Linked DNA regions of Arabidopsis thaliana. The protein of the gene in region 2 interacts with the protein of the main gene of each other region in a pairwise test. Each region holds a gene or a part of one and is shown on either strand. Other genes may lie near its edges.

What was found. The genes of interacting proteins can lie anywhere in the genome.
Region 1: the proteins of SK41 (region 2) and AT3G49810 interact in a two-hybrid assay, tested with the Arabidopsis thaliana proteins (one large-scale study listed by BioGRID).

The regions. Positions count from the first base shown.
Region 1 is NC_003074.8:18,472,530-18,480,722, forward strand, and holds AT3G49810 (ARM repeat superfamily protein), read right to left. Parts: upstream 4,504-8,193; 5' UTR 3,754-4,503; coding exon 2,407-3,753; 3' UTR 1,776-2,406; downstream 1-1,775. Other genes in the region: AT3G49800 (BSD domain-containing protein), read right to left, coding at 185-372, 559-1,147. UniProt on the Arabidopsis thaliana protein: Functions as an E3 ubiquitin ligase.
Region 2 is NC_003070.9:3,193,610-3,203,947, forward strand, and holds SK41 (shaggy-like protein kinase 41), read right to left. Parts: upstream 6,795-10,338; 5' UTR 6,427-6,794; exon of another isoform or gene 6,015-6,426; 5' UTR 5,916-6,014; coding exon 5,772-5,915; intron 5,645-5,771; coding exon 5,552-5,644; intron 5,465-5,551; coding exon 5,405-5,464; intron 5,364-5,404; exon of another isoform or gene 5,320-5,363; coding exon 5,047-5,319; intron 4,909-5,046; coding exon 4,834-4,908; intron 4,400-4,833; coding exon 4,343-4,399; intron 4,275-4,342; coding exon 4,134-4,274; intron 4,038-4,133; coding exon 3,987-4,037; intron 3,718-3,986; coding exon 3,622-3,717; intron 3,175-3,621; coding exon 3,091-3,174; intron 3,009-3,090; coding exon 2,906-3,008; intron 2,594-2,905; coding exon 2,505-2,593; 3' UTR 2,110-2,504; downstream 1-2,109. Other genes in the region: PUR2 (Glycinamide ribonucleotide (GAR) synthetase), read right to left, coding at 1-212, 568-941, 1,054-1,327; XBCP3 (xylem bark cysteine peptidase 3), read left to right, coding at 8,239-8,656, 9,100-9,335, 9,436-9,576, 9,662-10,093, 10,180-10,266. UniProt on the Arabidopsis thaliana protein: May mediate extracellular signals to regulate transcription in differentiating cells.

The sequences.
Region 1 (8,193 bases), on a different chromosome or scaffold from region 2:
TCAAATAATTCACATTAAAAACTTGCAAACCTAATTCACATGCTACTAGTAAAGTTCATTATTAGCACAAAGAGAATCATCTATTCATTGAAACATAAAGCATAACATCCAAATAGCTCGAAAACTTTGTAAACAGAAGAAAAAGACAGTAATGATCAGCAGTGGTGTTGAGAATCAAGCTAACCTGAGGAGTTGAGAGAGTCAAGGCATCATGTTTGCTGAATATAGGATGCACAAGTACAAAGTAAATCCTCCAGAAGCAATACTCGCTCATGTACGCAGGACAAAGCTCAATCCTCAAAGCAGCCAGACTCGATGCAAGATTCTCCACAGCCAACGCATGCTCATATTGGGCATCAGTCATTTCAAAGTCTGATCATAACAGTTGTAAAATACCACTTAACAACAACACCTTCATATAAAACAAACCCTAAACTCTAAAGTGATCAGAAAAAACTCTCAAATACGGAATATCTAAGTCTAGACCATAGTAGATTCCCTCATCAACATAATCGATTACAAATTAGTGTCGAATCTGCTGCGAAATCGAAAACGTACCATCAAAGTTATCATCCTCGTCAGGAAAAGGAAAATCAAGCCAAGTCTCAGGATGCAGAGCAAGATCTCTAGCAAACAAAACTACTTCCTCCGTCACACCAATTGCATTTCCAATCGCAACATCACGGTTCTTCGAATCCACACCTTCCGATCCCAATTGCAAGAAATTCGAAGCCATATTTGTAAACTTCGATACCGGTAAGTTTCCAGAGAGTTTCGAGATCCCAGTCTTAAATCTACCTCCGATCTCAACGAAATCGTTCCTGATTCCAGCAATCAGATCCTCATCACCTTCCGCGAGATCCGATGACTTCCGAGTCTCCTCATCCACATGATCCGCCGTATCGGAAGAAGAAGGAGGTGGCGCGAGGAAAGAAGCAACGCCCCATAGCTGACTTCTTAAGGTCTTGGTGAGTTCAGAGATGTCTTCCTTCACGCCTCGTGGAGACTGTGTTTGCAACACCGATGGCGAAGACGGTTGATCTGAGCCGGAATTTTCAATCGAATTGGTCTTAATCGTTTCCTTTTGATCATATTCTTCCTCATCGATCTTCAGAGAATTCGCAATGGATCTAGCAAGCCATGCCATTTTTTTGGGGATCTCTCACAAGTCTCTCGAGTATCTCTCTCTTAATCCGCGACCTTTAACGAGACACCATTGACGCTAAATATTCAACCTTACGAAACGTCGTCGCTGGATTAGTTAATGAGCTACGTAAAAATAGCCCATAAGATTGAAAGTCCAGCCCATCTAGGGGCTAGGGTATGCGGGACACCATTCAATTTAAGAAACGTCGTTGTTTAATTATGCAAATGGGCTTAGTAGCTAAAGCCCATAAGGTACAATATCTAGCCCATCTATAGGTTTGGTTACTGTTATTCTCTGTTACAGAGTTTTATATGTCAAGACAAAAACTCTCACATCACACTGTGTTATACACAAACCCACTCAAAACAGAGATTTGCTCAGACTCATTTCCAAAAACAGGACAAGTAAAATAAGCCTATGTTTATTTTTGTGTTAAAAAACAGTAGAAATTGTTGAATGATTCACTTGTCAAATCTCACATTTCTTTTCAATTGTTCATTACAACAGTAGTAGTTCAGAACAATGTATGGAGACTTTTGGTCTCCACCACAACTTATGTGCTCTACTTATTAGACAAGAATCAAAATTCACATCATACTGTACTTTGAGATGTCACTCTATGCAATAACAGTGATTGATTTTTCAAGAATCACGTTTTTGATATTTACTTCGTTGAAGACAATAAGGAGGCTGAGAACAAAGATGAAATCATGACAATTGTCTAATTCCTAATCTAAGTAAAGCTAAAAGAAAACATTGAATGAAGAAAAAAAGATTCAAAAGCTTAAAAGAGGCTTCTACAAGTTCAGGGTCAAAGATTTTGCTTTTTTTTTTTTTTTTTTTTCTCTGTTGTGAATGGTCAAAAAGCAAAACAACCTCTCACAAGAACCCAAAGTAGAGAGGTTTAACTTAATATGGTTCCTTTCTTCAAATTCTTCTTTTTCTTTGTTCTTCTGAAATTGATTTGAGCCAGAGGCGGTAACTTTACACAGTTTTTTTCTAATTCCCAATGCTTATTGCAAAACGAACCAATATGGTAACATTACATACCGATCCCTCAACCACCCGGTTTCTTCGTCTTCCCCATGTTTCCATCAGCTGATTGCCTCTTCCTTTGAATTGTTACCACCAAAACCAATAGCTCAATCTTCAAACTCATCATCTATATATACATCAGGGCAAAGGCAGATTCGTAATGCAATGCACATTTACCGTTTCATGGATAACCCGCTGAATCCTGTGATCAATCAGTGCCAATGCTATTGGATTGTCCTTGTGAGTTTGCATTTGGAAATAAACATGGTGTCTGAATAATGTAGACTACAAAGCTTAAGTAGCTCTGCTGACCGCTGCTTCAACGCTGCATCACACCCGCTCTGGATCACGAGTAACAGCTTTGCAGCAAGACCAACCTCAACAGCAAGTGGTGAACATTCTTCTGGAGCTAATTTGCAGACAGACCAAAGAATCGACAGCGCGTAGTTAGTGCAATTCTCAGACACCCTCATCAGCACCCTAACTGTATAAGGTATTGTGTTTGCAGAGTCTTTGACAGCAACTCTTCCTTCCACGTCTGTACACAAAGCATCAAGAACAAACAGAGCTAACTCCAAACATTCCGGGTCTAAAGACGGTAAGATATCAACTAATTGAGGCACTGCTCCAATGCTAACCATCAAGCTTCGAACTTGTTTATGAACCGAAATCGGTTTAAGCAACCGAAGTGCAGGAGATACTCCATTTCTATGTCTCTTATCCTTAACCAATCTCATTAACCCAACAAGCAAACTATGACTTGAAACAAGCTCTGCTCTAAACCCTTTCTCTTCCACCAATCCTCTAATCAATCTAGCACAATTGATCTTAGTCTCATTAGATCCATCATTCAACATATCAACAATCAAAGAAACCTTAGCTGGTTGCATCAAGCCGGATTTCGAATCAGAATCAAGATCAAGACTCACAAGAATAGCAACAACCTCAGATCCAACAGCATGAGAAGTAAAAGGACCCAAAAGAGAAGAGATCACAGAGACACCACCTTCTTCAACAACAGTCTTCCTCGCCATAAGATGAGCAATAACAATCTGTTTAAGCTCACTCAAAGCATGAACCCTAGCTTGACCTTTAGCTTTCTTCAAAGTCCCCAAAATCTCAATAGCTCGTCCTTGAACATCCTCAGAACGTTTCTTCATCAACACATACTTCTGAGAGAACCAAGTATAGATCAAATGATGAAGAGTTTTATTAGGAGTTACCGTATCATCCCAAAGCTCTTGCATTGTAGTAGGACAAGTCAAGTGACCTAGGTTAAACCATTTGTGAATGTTTAACCTTTCATAGGTTTGACCAGTACACAAAGTCACAGGATCTTGCATCGGCTCTAAGGAGATAGGACAAATGAAAACAGAAGGTATATCTTGTAAATCTAGCTCCTTTATCATCTTCTTCAGATCCAATTTCTCATCAACAACTCCAACACCACCACCATTAACACCACCGAGAACTCCATCTTTCACTGCAGTATCCAGATCTAAGACTTGCCCATCACCACCACCTTCAAATCCTATTAACCCATCTCTCTTTAACGGCTGAAACATCGGCATTTCGATAGAATCTATAGAAACAAAAAAATCTCAATAAAAAAACAGACTTTTCTTCTCAAACTCACAACATTTGGGAAAATAATGTGAGCTGAAAAAGAAACGCATGTCTTTATCTCAGAAAGAAGCGTTAAAACAACAACAACAACACAATCTTCTTCTTCTTCTTTTTCCTCTTTGCTTTAATTTAGTTTTTCTCTTTTCAACGGTCAAAAAGAAGATTCATTCAACTCTTGTTAATAATATAACATCATAAACACATGATTGAAACCCAACTGCTCCCAAAAAAAATGTGAATTTTATAACCACAAATTTCGAGAAACAGAAAAAAGGAGGAATCATGAAGAATAATGAGAAGGAAACCAAAAAAAAATCAACGAACCCAGTACAAAGGTTTGAACTTTCAATACCAGAAAATCTCAAAAGATAAAAAAGGAAGAGAATTTGAGAAAACCCAGATGACGAAATCAAAAATAAATTCACGAATTCGTGAGAATGACGAAGAAGAAACCCGTACTCTCTCTTTTGTTTGTTTGTTTCTCTCTTACCTTCTTCTGAGGTAGTGTGAGTGATTGTTTTGTTTTTGTTTCTTTGAGAGGAAAAAAAAATGGGGTGAATAAAATAAAAAGGAGAAAAAAGGGGAGAGATTAAAGATTTGTTGAAAGATTCGGGTGGAAAATCTAAAAAAATTAAAGATAAGGTGACCGGTGAATTCACTGGTTATAGCCGGTCATTTAGTCCTCTCGACTCGCGTACCACACGTGCAAGCTACACCACATGTGACATGCCCTCACCTCCCGGTTTTATTATAATACAACTCTCTTTTTTAATTACCATTGAAAAACTCAGCTTAATAATTTTGATTTCCAATTTTGTCCCTACCTTTTATAGTTTTAAAACGTAATTAATTAGGCAACCAAGAAAATTCTCCCAATAATAAAGAATTAGTAATTTTAAACACATTATTTCAGTCAAATTATACAGGAGATGTAATTGTTCCTTCCAATAAAGTGTGGAATAAACACTTTGGTATGTGAATGAATAGTTTTAGTTTTTTCTGATAATATTTTGGATTTAAAATTGGGAATATCCTTTAATTAGTCAAAAAAAGACAACAGTGAAATTCTAAATTTTCTTTTAGCTTTTTTTTTCTTAATATCCACGCTAACTAAGGATAAATACTTTTCCCATTTATGTTAAAAAGATGTTTGTTAAGGTTAAGGATTTTGTTAAAAAAACAAAAAAAATGTTGAAGGATAAACAAAAATGAGGGTAAAGTGGTAAAAATGAAAGAGTAAAGAAAATCCGGCAACGTAGTCAAAAAAGCTGAGAAGTTTGCACTAAACTCCAAACACCCACGGGGAAGAGTAACCCGTACAGGTCGGGGCACGTGTGACGATAATTTCTATGTTTAATTTCTTAATTACTTTTTTAATTTCAATCTTATCATCGTTATTAATTCCAAAGGAACAACTCTTGATTTTTTGTTTGTTATACCAATACCTTCCTTCACCTCTTTTTAGTATATAAAAAAAATTAAAACTGAAAAAAAAAACCGAAACCGATTACCCGAACCGAAACCGACCCAAATAATTGGATCTAAAACCGAATCCGAATCGAAAGATTTATTATATTGAATTCTAAATTCCTAAACTAAAAAAATCGAATCCAACCACAATCCAAAAATACTCAAATATTTTTATTCGAAAATATAAATTTTACCTTAAACCCAAAATTTTATCCGAAAATTCAAGTATTTACCCGAATATATTCGAACCCAATTAAATCTAAACCTATATTTTAGATTTATTATATTAAATTCTAACCCAAACGGATATTTCCCTATAATATTACTTCAAAAAAAATTATAATAGCTATTAAAAAAGCTTATTGCCAAACAACTTTTTGAATCGATTTAATCTGCTGACGAATAAGAATTTTTATATAAAAACAACATTTAAAAATTGGTTAAATTGTTTCACATAATTGCAGTTTCAAAATAAAAAAGTTTTAAAAATAAATATTTTTTTGAGAAATATACTTTATAAATATCACACACTATTAGAAAAGAAAAAAAAAACAGAGAGGAGTGAGATGGGGACCACAAACAAAAGTGCCAGCTAGACATAATATTTGACCGTGACAGTGTCTTGCTTTGACTATAAGCGTCGATCGTCTCCGGGTCTAATCTCTTTGCCCCCTTTGACTGTTCCTTTTACCCAATCATATCCCACCACGTGTCCACATCTGCCTCTTCCCCACCCAACCTTCATTTGTTAATTAATTTGGTTTTCAAATTTTTCATATTTTTAACAAAACAAACTCTCTACCAAATCAAGATAATTTAATAATAAAACTTGGAAATTGATGGGAGTGGGGATAGAGAAAGAGATAGAGATCTGTAAGAGAGACCATGTGTTCTTTTTGTTGCAGTTGAGTACTGACCCATAACTGCAAAGTTTGCTGTCCAAACATATATTTTTATTTATTATTTCATTGAAAAATATATTGATTACTTATTACTGGACCCATTTTTGAAATGAAATTGCAGATTCAAATGAAATGATTTTCAGAGTTGTTGATAATGATAAAACCAAAAATTTTGTGTCTATGACGTTTTTTTTTTCTAGTCAAACTAAGATGATATACTAAAGTGGACCGGCAAGTGTTTAAATGTGATATGACTTGTTTTGTAATCAAGTTTTTTTAGCCTTTGGGATGATGGGAGATTGATAGTGATATTATAAAAATATAATAACAATAACTATATCAAAAAACAAAATTGATTTAACATATCATCTAAGTAGTAATACGGACCGAGTGCTAATGACTGGTGTGAGTGGTGGTGACTAGAGGTGGACCTACGAATAAAAGCGTAACCATTTCATGAAAACGAAGTGACGAAAATTCAACTACTGTGTGTCGTATTTTCGTTGTTGGGATCAACAGTTTTTAATACGTGTGTTGAATTTGTTCTTGTTTTATGTTTGTTGAGCTAGAAGGTTTCAAATTATGAAAGAATGAACTGACACTAACCAATTAAGTGGTGGTCTAGTGGTAGACGTCGACATTTCAAAAGAGGTAGGTATGATTTCTGATTCAAGTCTTGTTTGGGACAAGATGATTTACGCATGTCTGCATTGTATACTTACGTATAATATCAATCGCTGCAACATGTAATGGAGATCGAGACTACTAGCTCTTAATTTATGAGCTAAATATATAAAGAAACTGACTCTAATGACACTTAATCATGTAGATTCTTCGACTTGATGGGGATGAGTGGGCTCTAAAGACATGATGCACTGAGCAGTTCGTGATTTTGGAGAATGTGAGGAAAGGTAACTATAGGAATTGATCACTAATTCGATGGTATATCGGATTGGCAATGTAACACTCATAACTTTTGATGGTAGAGAGTTTGTGGATGTCAAATATCGTTCAACTATGAGAAATAACTTGACTTCTATAGTTCTATGAGAATACAGTGAAATAATGCCACTTTAGGTAATGAGGTTTTGTTGTGTCAATTTATAATGATGATGACTGCAACTAATACAATAGAAATACTCTTGTATCAACTTAAAATCGTTGCGGAAAAGGTTCAATTTGTGTCTAAACATATATGAGATCACATTGTTAATTGTATAGCAGATTCAAACATATGTTTTAAAGAAAATGAATTTACTGATATAGAAGGGACTAATAAAAGGCAAGAAAATTCGTAGGTCGATTATGGAAGATTAATGAAAAATAACAAACTAATTCAACAATAACATAGTTCTAATCAAATTGTTTTTTTCTTGCTTTGTCGTTATGACTTTATGCCATTTTATTCTACCATTTTTGTCTACGCTTTCGTCATTCTCGGTGTTACCAATCGAGCCCATGACATCGGTAAACATGAATACACTATAATGCATTGCCTACGCATATGTTTATCTTTAGTATTTTAGGCTTTAGCTCATTTATTTTAACGTTAAAGAAGTGTGAAACAATCTTTTAATAAATGCAAAAGTAGAAGCACGAAGGAATAAAAAAGGTATATACCGCATTCCTACGCGTATTCTATATGTTTGATTTTCTAGCCATTTTAGCTTTGGACTGTCACGTGAGTCGTGACGCTCTACCCCCTAAATCTATGTCTATAGTAGTATGTACATATCAGACACATGCATGAGGCACCTATATATTTGTAAATAAATTATACACTATATGACGTATGGATTCAATGATACCAAGAGTTTTTGCTTGTAACGCCCAAGATTTTCGAAACCTACAATCTAGGATCTAAATAGTGTACCTCCAGTTATAAATTATATTTGTCGCTCTAGATAAGTTAGAGTAATGGCCAAATCTCGATAACAATTTATTTGTGATCTCCTCACATGAATTTCTTTGGAACCAAATTAATCCCAAACGATAGGATTCAATAATCAGTTA
Region 2 (10,338 bases):
CCCTCGAGAAACTCCTCAACGACCACCTGACATCCTGCAGAACCAAACACACCTTTGACCAGCATAGAATCAACAGCTTCAAAAGCCTCCTCTAGTTCCATGGCAACAGTGACTCCTTTTCCAGCTGCTAATCCATCCGCTTTAATCACAATCGGTGCCCCTTGTTCTTGAATGTATTCTTTCGCGGCAGATGCATCAGAAAATGTTTTATACTGCATTTGAATTCCATTCAATAATACCGTATTAGCCACATCAAATTGGAATCCTTAAGATAATATCAAAGCTACGAATCTGCTACTACTTTTATTCCACCGATTTACCGAGCCCTCAACCACATAGCCAACCAAACCATAGTACACCTAGCACTCACTAACCGCTCTCTAACCAACTCACAACAGCTATAACCTGCTACATTAAGTACTAGGCTAGATTAAAGCAGACCTATAGCTAACAGTTGAACACTTCAAAGCTTATAATCTTTACATAGCAACCTTATGGATCCTAACACAGCAAGGGAAGAAATTGGTAACCATCAGGGATAAATGAAAAAGAGAAAGCGACGCAAACCTTAGCAGTAGGGATATTGTACTTGTGGCAAAGATTCTTCATAAAGTTCTTGGAACCTTCCAAAGCAGCAGCTTGAGAAGAAGGGCCAAAGGTGAGGATACCGGCCTTAACAAGGTCATTAGCGAGACCAGCAACAAGAGGCACTTCAGGGCCAACAACCACTAAACCAACATTCCATTTCTGACAGAAAGAGATGACAGCTAAACTGTCTGATATGTCAAGGTCAGGTACACAAGTGGCATCTCCGGAACTGGATATACCGGCGTTTCCAGGTGCGCATAACACAGAATCACAAGAAGGAGACCGCTTCAAGGCGTGGCAAAGGGCGTGTTCTCTCCCTCCTCCACCAATTACAAGAACATTCACTCTCTCTTCTGCAGAAATCGAAATCGATATTACTATATAATCAATGGCGTTCAAATTCGATATCTTTACAATAACATTCAACCAAGTTTGTTAATTCATAATGAGCAAAAGGGTATTTACCAGAGCCGCCGTTACCGATAGAAAGAGACGGCTGAGATTCTTCTGAAACGCATCGGAGCAAAAAAAGGCGTCTTTGGATTCGGTTCGAAGAGAAACGAGAGTTACTAAGGACGTGATTGGTAGTAGAGAATTTGAGAGGAGCAACAAATGGAAGAGAATTGGAGGAGGCGAATCTGAGGGAGAGAAGAAAGGGTTTAGTTGGGTTGTTGTTGTTGGAGAAGAGATTGATAGAAGAAGATGAAGGATAGCAATTAGATGCACACAACGACGACATGGAGGGAGACTGTCAAAGTAGAGGACTCTGGACTCGGACCAGCGTAGACAAGGGTTTAAAGTGGTTCCTCCCTTCTTGTTTTTGAGTTTACTTATTTTTTTGGTAGTTAAAGAATAAATACCAAATCAAATCGTGACCAATAAAACATCTTCATTGTATGTGTAATTTTGTTGTCTATTATTATTTGTAGACGCCGGTCCTGATAAGGCCCAATACAAAATAATTTTTTCTTTAATGAGTTTTGTTGATAAAAGTTAAAAATTAAGACTAAATCCTATAACTTTTAGAAAATAAAAAATAGATAAATTTAAAAATGGAGACTAAATATTAAAATTTTAGAATATAGGATATAGTTTTGCAATAACAAATTTTTTTGGAGGCCTAATTTTGTTACTAAAAAGCTTAAACTTTTGGAGGCCCAATACCCATGTATCTTGGGTCAAATAATATTTTTTAATTGATAATCACATTTAAGAGGAAGAGACTTCAACTGTTTCGACCAAACATCAAAACGTTGTCGGATCAGCTACTGGATCAAGATTCAAGAGAGAAAAGAAATTTAAACTTGGTGGGTTTGATGGGCTGAAAAGTTTTAATGTTGTTGGGCTGAGATTGATCCATGACTCTGTCATCTAAAACAGGTTTTGTCTGAAGTTCTGAACCTTTGTTTATGTTATGAGGTTTTCCTTGATATATACTATACGGTTCGCCATGACTGAAATATTGCTTCTGAGCTTTTGACCGGTAAGTATGAAGTACCAAATTCACGATCTGGAGGAAGACACGGCTATTTTCACGAAGGAATCGGTTTGATTTTCACAGAAACACAATGTGCAAACACATGAGCGGCAAAGTCATTAATTTTTAGTTGATTTTTCTTTTCTATTTGTAAAACTAAACGATGCAATTAATTTTGGTTAGTAATTTACATGCTTTAAAACAGTTTGCGATAGATAAGGTTATATGGTGGCCGTGAAACAAACAAGTGGTCTGTAACCAGCAAACCTCAAGTACTGTTTGTATTCATGCATCCTCATCGACATATAACCAACCAAACAGAAAAAAAATAAAGAAAAAGAACTCACCAAAAACAAAAGCCAAATGGCTGAAAACTGGCTGCTCCAAATATTGATATCAAGAGAGCTTGCTTATACAGATGCAAAAACCGATAAGCGTCTTACGAATGCAAAGCCATGAAGAGGTTCTGCTTACGGGCATGCTCTGGGACAAGCCTGTTCACGATTTCAGGAGGTATGCCAGATAGCTCTGCAACAACACATAAAACCTCAGTTCATGATTTTGAAGTACTGAAAGTTAAGGATGACAGGTTCATGTCTATGGAGAACAAAGTGTTTATATATTTTGCTTAGTAATCATATATTTCAGAGGCCACAACGGCACCATACTTGTTCAATTTATTTAGCATCCTCAATATTCAAAGAGCATATACTAACACTGAATGATGTTTATATGTATTACCAATCATGAACACAACGCAACATGTCAACAACTTAACGGAGCATACTACATATGTTAGATCTCTTAATAGGCCCAACAAGAAAAATAAGGGAACTGTACCTTGCGGTTTAAAGTTGAAAAGTGGAGGAAGTGGTCGGCCATTGGGAAGACGAGTGTTTGGGTCCCTTAGCTCATCAAATAACGGATGGATACAAGCTTCCAACTACAATAACACCAGAAGAGTGTTTTTAATGAATTTAGATCATTAGATGCTAATATGGAGGGAACGGAACGAATTAACTTACAGCTGTACATCTCAAATTGGGGGAATATTGGAAGAACCTACAAAGAAGATCAACTGCTTCTGGTGGCAAACGTTTTTGGAACACCTGAGCATAAATAGAATATTCATGCAGTAATAAGGATTCAGAGAGAAGCGAAGCTCAAGGAGATAATTATCACTGAAGTCAATTAAACCTTTTTTTACTATGGGAAAATAAAAAATCCTAGATACAGCTTAATGCAAAGTGCAAACCACCAAGTTGTAGAATGTCAGAGAACAAAATCCTGAAAACCATTTCCACCAGAGAGAAATACTCAAACTAGAACTAAAGCCACAATCATTTAGCCAATTGTTTTCAACTCTACCACAGATAGTTTTATAAAGCAGAGGAAATGACAACATTAATTTTATTTTTGATATTTACTCTTGAATGATTCATACTCCAAACCATCACAAATACCAGAACTCCTCTTTGAAAAAATGCATTCACCAACAAAACCACTGATTAAAGATTATTCTGGTAGGTGATAATCAATAACATTAGAAGGCATACCTTGTGCCATGGATGAGGTTTTATCTGCGGAAACTTAAATTCTGTATAGTTTGGATTCATGCACTTGATTTCTTCCCTTGTTGGTGTACCTAAAACCTGCATGACATATCAAAGCAAATGAAATAAGAAAACCAAGGTTTCCTCGAAATCAGACTGAGCAATCCAAAGGTTACTGCTTTCTTCTATACTGAATACGAACTCAACAATAGACGTAACAAATTGTGATGCCTAAGCCTAATAATCATTCAGATATAAAGTTGACAATCTGCACCTGTCTGCTACGTAAACAAAAGTTCTAAAAGAACTTATCACTTTATCAGGACTTGATGATTTTAGATAAATTTAAAGAATTAATAAAAGGCTACCTTAATGATTTCAACAAGCTGATCAACTCCGCTCTCACCAGGAAACAGAGGCTGTACGACAAATTAGCAAGGGCACAAAATAGTAAGACAAGGAATAAACTGAATGAATAGAACAACATATAGCTAATGCAAAAATCATGCTTTAACCTGTCCAAGAAGCAGTTCGGCCATCACACAACCAGTGGACCATATATCAATTGCAGTTGTGTATTCACTGGCACCAAAAATGAGTTCTGGAGCACGATAGTATCTAGAACAGATGTAAGAAACATTGGGTTCTCCTTTTACCTACAGAGAACGAGAACATGTCATACTCCAAGAATGAATTCGTTAAAAGCTGTGTCAATAAAACTTACCAACACTTTTGCACTCCCGAAATCACATATTTTTAGCTGATGCGTGTGTGGGTTCACCTGCACAACAACATCTGTAAAGTCAGATATATAAATGCATTTAAATTAACACCGAACAACTTTTTAGATAGCAATTCTAACTAGTTAGAATTTTTAAGCTCAGACATGTTACTCTAAGAACCCAGCTCAATTTCTCAAAGTTAATTTCAGAATCCAATTTTAACAACTAGCTTTCTCAATAATATAAACTCGAAAAGAGAAGCCTAGTTCCTCTGTGAAGGGAGTAAATGAAATTAAAAGTATTAAATCTCCAGGCCTGTTATAAACATACATCATGTCAGAATCCAAACCTAGTATGACATCTTTAATGTAAATAATATACGTGTCTATTTATCTCCTGCTCATAGAGCATTCAAACAAAAATAGGTTATAGCAAAAAAAAGGTCATCTGTTATATATTCCTTTCAAAACAGGGAGACGCAAATGGAACTTGCCAGCAGGTTTTGAGGCTTGATATCACGGTGACAAAGACCAAAGGAATTATGGATGTAAGCAAGCGCCCTGCAAATCTGTCACCATTAACAGAAACTTATCAAAAATGTTTGAAGAAAACCCAGCGGATTATCAATCTGGCATGCATTTACAAATATTATGAAGCAAAAACTACAAAAAAGATTAAAAAAGGTTCAAATGTAGGAAATAGTTACCTGATAGGTGTAGAGTTTAACATATATCAATGGCATCAGCTGGTTTGTCCTACTATAACTTCTTGCAACACGATTGACGGTCTCAGGCACAAATTCAAGGACAAGATTCAAATAAACCTCTTCGTTGTCTGTTCTTGAGAAAAAGCTATGCTTTAAAGCAACGGCATTGGGATGGTCTAGCATCTGCATTATTTGTAGCTCCCTGTTCTTGTAGCGTTTGTCTTGTAGAACCTTCTTGATGGCAACAACCTCCCCAGTTTCCCTACATTTAGCCTACCAAAAGGAAACATAAATGTGCAGGGGAATGGAGCCAAATCAATAGAACGAACATCATGGGTCTTATGTTAAATTAGCTCACTTGGAAAACCATGCCAAAGGAACCAGTACCAACAACATGTTCTGATATGTAACTGACTGTCTGCCAATCCAAAAAAAATCTATATGAGAAACAGTTAGATAAACTACATTACCAACTAACACATACAATTATCCATAACCATCCAACCTGTCTTGATTGACCATTTCGACCACGGAGTGTGGTTCTAATCACATGACCAGGCTCAGCACCAGCCCCATCAATAATATCTGGTTCACTATCCTGCAACGTAACGAAAACCTCAGACACTGTAACCAACTCCATAACATATATAAGCTCAGGATAAAGAAGTGAAGCTAAAAAACAGTTGAATAAACATGAAAAAAAGAAGAAGCAATGCAAGACTTACTCTCTCATCATCGGTCTCTACTTTGTCCCTTATCCTCGTCTCAGCCAAATCTCTGGTCAACCAATCGACAGAACTAGAAGAGCTCTTTAAACCTTTGGCAGATCTCGAAGTGCCTACTCCATTTCCCAGTCCAGAGGATGCCATGATATATATTCAGAAGATAACACGTACTACTAGTAATTGATAGCATCATAAACCCATGGTGATTTCTTGGTGTCCCATCCCATCAAAGAGCCGATCTTCCTAGTAGAATTTGTAGGCCCATTTGCATTAAATAAGGTGTGTTATTATATCTCAAGTATCTTGATCATTAGCTAAATCATGAACACATACAAAAAAAAGTAAACTTGTGTAAGCACTGATGAACTTTGAACTAGTGGTGAATTGATACACTGTAAAACCTAGCCCAATAGAGACAGATCAGATCTACTGCCGACTAGAATTGATTTGAAATCGACAAGGTTTGGTTTGAAAACTGAAATTCTATAGCCAAAAGCAGCTCAGAAAATCAGCAAAACAGTTACTAGTACCCAGAAGAACCCTAGTTCAACAACAACTCAGAAAAAAAGCACATTGAGAGAATAAAGAGCGAAACTTTGGAAAAGATTCGCAGTGATATGATTAGGTAGAAGAGTAAAATAAAAATGATCATCACCTTGAGCTGTCGTGAAGAAGAACTGAAACCAAAGTCAAGCATTTGACGATTGTCTTTTCTTCTTCTTTCTTCAATTGAAGAGCTTCACATAAATATATAAAATAGAATATTTCTCGGTGAATGATCGGATTGAGAAAAAAGCTAAACCTTTAGATTCTTCAAGCGTTAATTTTGTTTTCCCAACTTCTTCACACCTTCTTTGTCGATTTCTATCGTTTTGAATCAAACGAGAATATGAGACGACAGCTCATCATTATAAGCATCATATATTAATCTTTTTCTTATATTTATGTTTCTATAAGATTTTTATTTATGCTTAGTTATATATTTTTTCCTTCAAAAAATTAATTAGACCTTGTTAAAATTTCATACTATACTTTTTAATGGATGTCCCCAAATATCATAACAACTGGAACTCAATTTTCAAACCTCAGCCTACCTAATTTTTGTAACCGGATATTCAAACTTTTTGGTGTACAACTTATTTCAACTATAGTGGAAAATTTACAAAAGAAAACAACATTTTGTGATTACTAGAAATCGCTTCAAATGTATGTTTTTGTCAACACATTCGAGCCTCCACTCCAAAATGCATCTATATGGGATTTATATTCTAATATGTGCCTTTTGATTTTTGAGATACGATAAAACAACAATATATTCTTGGAATTTTCTAGTGAATTAAAATACTGTTGTAGGGCAAAAAATAATTTCAAAAAAATAAAGCCACTTTCGTATTTGCTGGTTATTATATAGTAAAAGTCGCCTTTACTTGTCGACAGTTAGGTAAGGCTTAACACATCACACTTCTTTTTGTGTGTGTGGCGATGGAGATTTTGTATCGGGTTTTATTAGTGATATTAAAGCTTAAGGATGTATTTTTTTTATCTGCAATTGGTTTTATCATAATATAAGCCTTCTAAATACGAAAAGATTGATCAAATACATTCCCGTTTTCACAAAAGTGAAGTTAATTATTTTTGCTTTGGTGAGCTCTCTCGAAAATACACGTTAGGCATGCACATTGCTTTGGTTACTACTACTCTCTGGTCTCCGCGTGATCTTATTTACTAATTAGAATAAGCAAAAAAGGGCTAAATGCAATAAAGTCGTAAGTAGGTCCAAAGTGTACTGCTCATCAGCCTACACAAATAGGGAGTGGTGGTCTTATAACCTAAAAAGGCTAAAGTTGCTTTCTTTTGCTTAATAAAGTATCGTAGATATATTACCCATTTAACAATGATTTTAGTGTTGACCAAACAACAACAAAACAATGATTTACGATAGTACTGTGTGTATGTAGTTGGATTGGAAGCTAAATGTGTTAGGCTTTTGATTGCCATTGGCCTCTCCGGCCCGGTCCTGAGCCCGTGAATGATGAGGATAATACTGACAAGTCCGCATTTTTTTTATTAAACAAACATTCAAATTTTGATAATGATCGTTTTTTTATGTTAAAAGGCTTTCATGATAATGAACGTACTTATTAACATTACATTATGTTTGTAATGCATATTTCACAATATGTATAATTAAATTTAGCAATTTAAAATTTTCTGGTGGCAAAGTTGTGGATAATTCTAGCTACATCCCTCCTATTTACACACGTGGTTCACTTCTTCTGCCTCAATCATTTTGTTCGGCAATTTTTCAACGCCAAACGCTTTTTGTTTAAAACGCCAACGCAAAACCAGCGTTTTGTAATCTTATTGGCTAAATCTCAAAAGAAATGGGAAAAAACAAATCTCCAGGCTATTCCTTATTTCTAGGCCAAAACTATCTCCACGATTCTAACAAACAAAAATTACAGAAATGTCAATGTCATCGTCCTCCTTTATCTCTCTCACTTTCTTCTTCCTTCTTCTCGTTTCTTCATCGTCATCTTCCGATGACATCTCTGAGCTATTCGACGACTGGTGCCAGAAACATGGCAAAACGTACGGTTCAGAAGAAGAGAGGCAACAGAGGATTCAAATCTTTAAAGATAATCACGACTTCGTTACGCAACACAATCTCATCACTAACGCTACTTACTCTCTCTCTCTCAATGCTTTCGCGGATCTGACTCACCACGAGTTCAAGGCTTCTCGTCTTGGTCTCTCTGTTTCCGCTCCGTCGGTGATAATGGCTAGTAAGGGACAGAGTCTCGGTGGTAGCGTAAAGGTTCCAGATTCTGTTGATTGGAGAAAGAAGGGAGCTGTTACTAATGTCAAAGATCAAGGAAGCTGCGGTATTTGATTTAACTTTCTTCTTCATCAAAATTTCAGATTTGATTGGAGTTTATAGTTCAGCGACTTAGGATGTGATTCAAGAACTTTAAGATTGGATTTAGATCGGAGAAAGTCTTAAACTTTAGAATCTTTGATGGTGCAGATTCATCTTCTGTGGTTATTTAGTACGTATGCTACAAGAAGACCAATCATGACGTAGTTTGTCACACTAATCTAATTTTGCATCTCTTTTTGTCCTTTTTAGGAGTATAATAAGAGAAAGTATGCGAGTAATATAGTGATTGAACTTTTTAGGAAAGTCTAGAAGCAATTATCATTGTATCTTTTATGAAAGTTATTGTTTCATAGAGTAGGCAATGTAGGAATTTGGTCTCAGAAATAGTAAATTTGTTCTCAGATGAATCCATAGTTGATTATTTGAGTTGATGATGATTATTTATAGGGGCATGTTGGTCGTTCTCGGCGACTGGAGCTATGGAGGGAATTAACCAGATAGTAACAGGAGATCTCATCAGCCTCTCTGAGCAGGAACTGATTGATTGTGACAAGTCCTACAATGCTGGCTGTAATGGTGGTCTCATGGACTATGCTTTTGAATTTGTCATTAAAAACCATGGAATAGACACAGAGAAAGACTATCCTTATCAAGAACGTGATGGCACCTGTAAGAAGGATAAGGTATCTGTTTAGCTGTTTCTCCTTGTTTTAATTTCTCTTCCCTGTTTGTTTCCTTGATCTTTGACATCACTAACTTACACAAGTCTCTTTTGTTCTGCAGTTGAAACAAAAGGTTGTGACAATTGATAGCTATGCTGGTGTAAAATCAAATGATGAGAAAGCGTTAATGGAGGCTGTAGCGGCTCAGCCAGTTAGTGTTGGCATCTGTGGAAGCGAGAGAGCGTTTCAGCTATATTCTAGTGTAAGTTGTAAGATTAGTGATCAACCTACTCTATTTTCTGAATGTTCAACGTCTCATTGTTTAGAAATTTTACCTTTTGATGCAGGGAATATTCTCTGGCCCGTGTTCGACATCATTGGATCATGCTGTGCTCATAGTAGGATATGGTTCACAGAATGGTGTTGATTATTGGATTGTGAAAAACTCATGGGGAAAAAGTTGGGGAATGGATGGGTTTATGCACATGCAGCGTAACACTGAAAATTCAGACGGCGTTTGCGGAATCAACATGCTTGCTTCATATCCCATCAAGACACATCCAAACCCGCCTCCACCGTCCCCTCCTGGCCCTACAAAATGCAACCTTTTCACGTATTGTTCATCTGGAGAGACTTGTTGCTGTGCAAGAGAATTGTTTGGTTTATGCTTCTCATGGAAATGCTGCGAGATAGAATCCGCTGTGTGTTGCAAGGATGGTCGTCATTGTTGTCCACATGATTACCCTGTTTGTGATACAACCAGAAGTCTCTGCCTTAAGGTATTTTAGCTGTGGATATATGCATACTGATCACGATGCCTACTTCTATGTTTTGTTGACTGATGAAGCTATTTCTTTTCTGACAGAAAACTGGTAATTTCACTGCGATCAAGCCCTTCTGGAAGAAGAATTCTTCAAAACAACTTGGCCGATTTGAGGAATGGGTTATGTGAGAGAAGTTTTACGCACATGTTACAGAAAATTCAAACTCATCCATACAAAAACCTCGTAGATTCGATTATCTG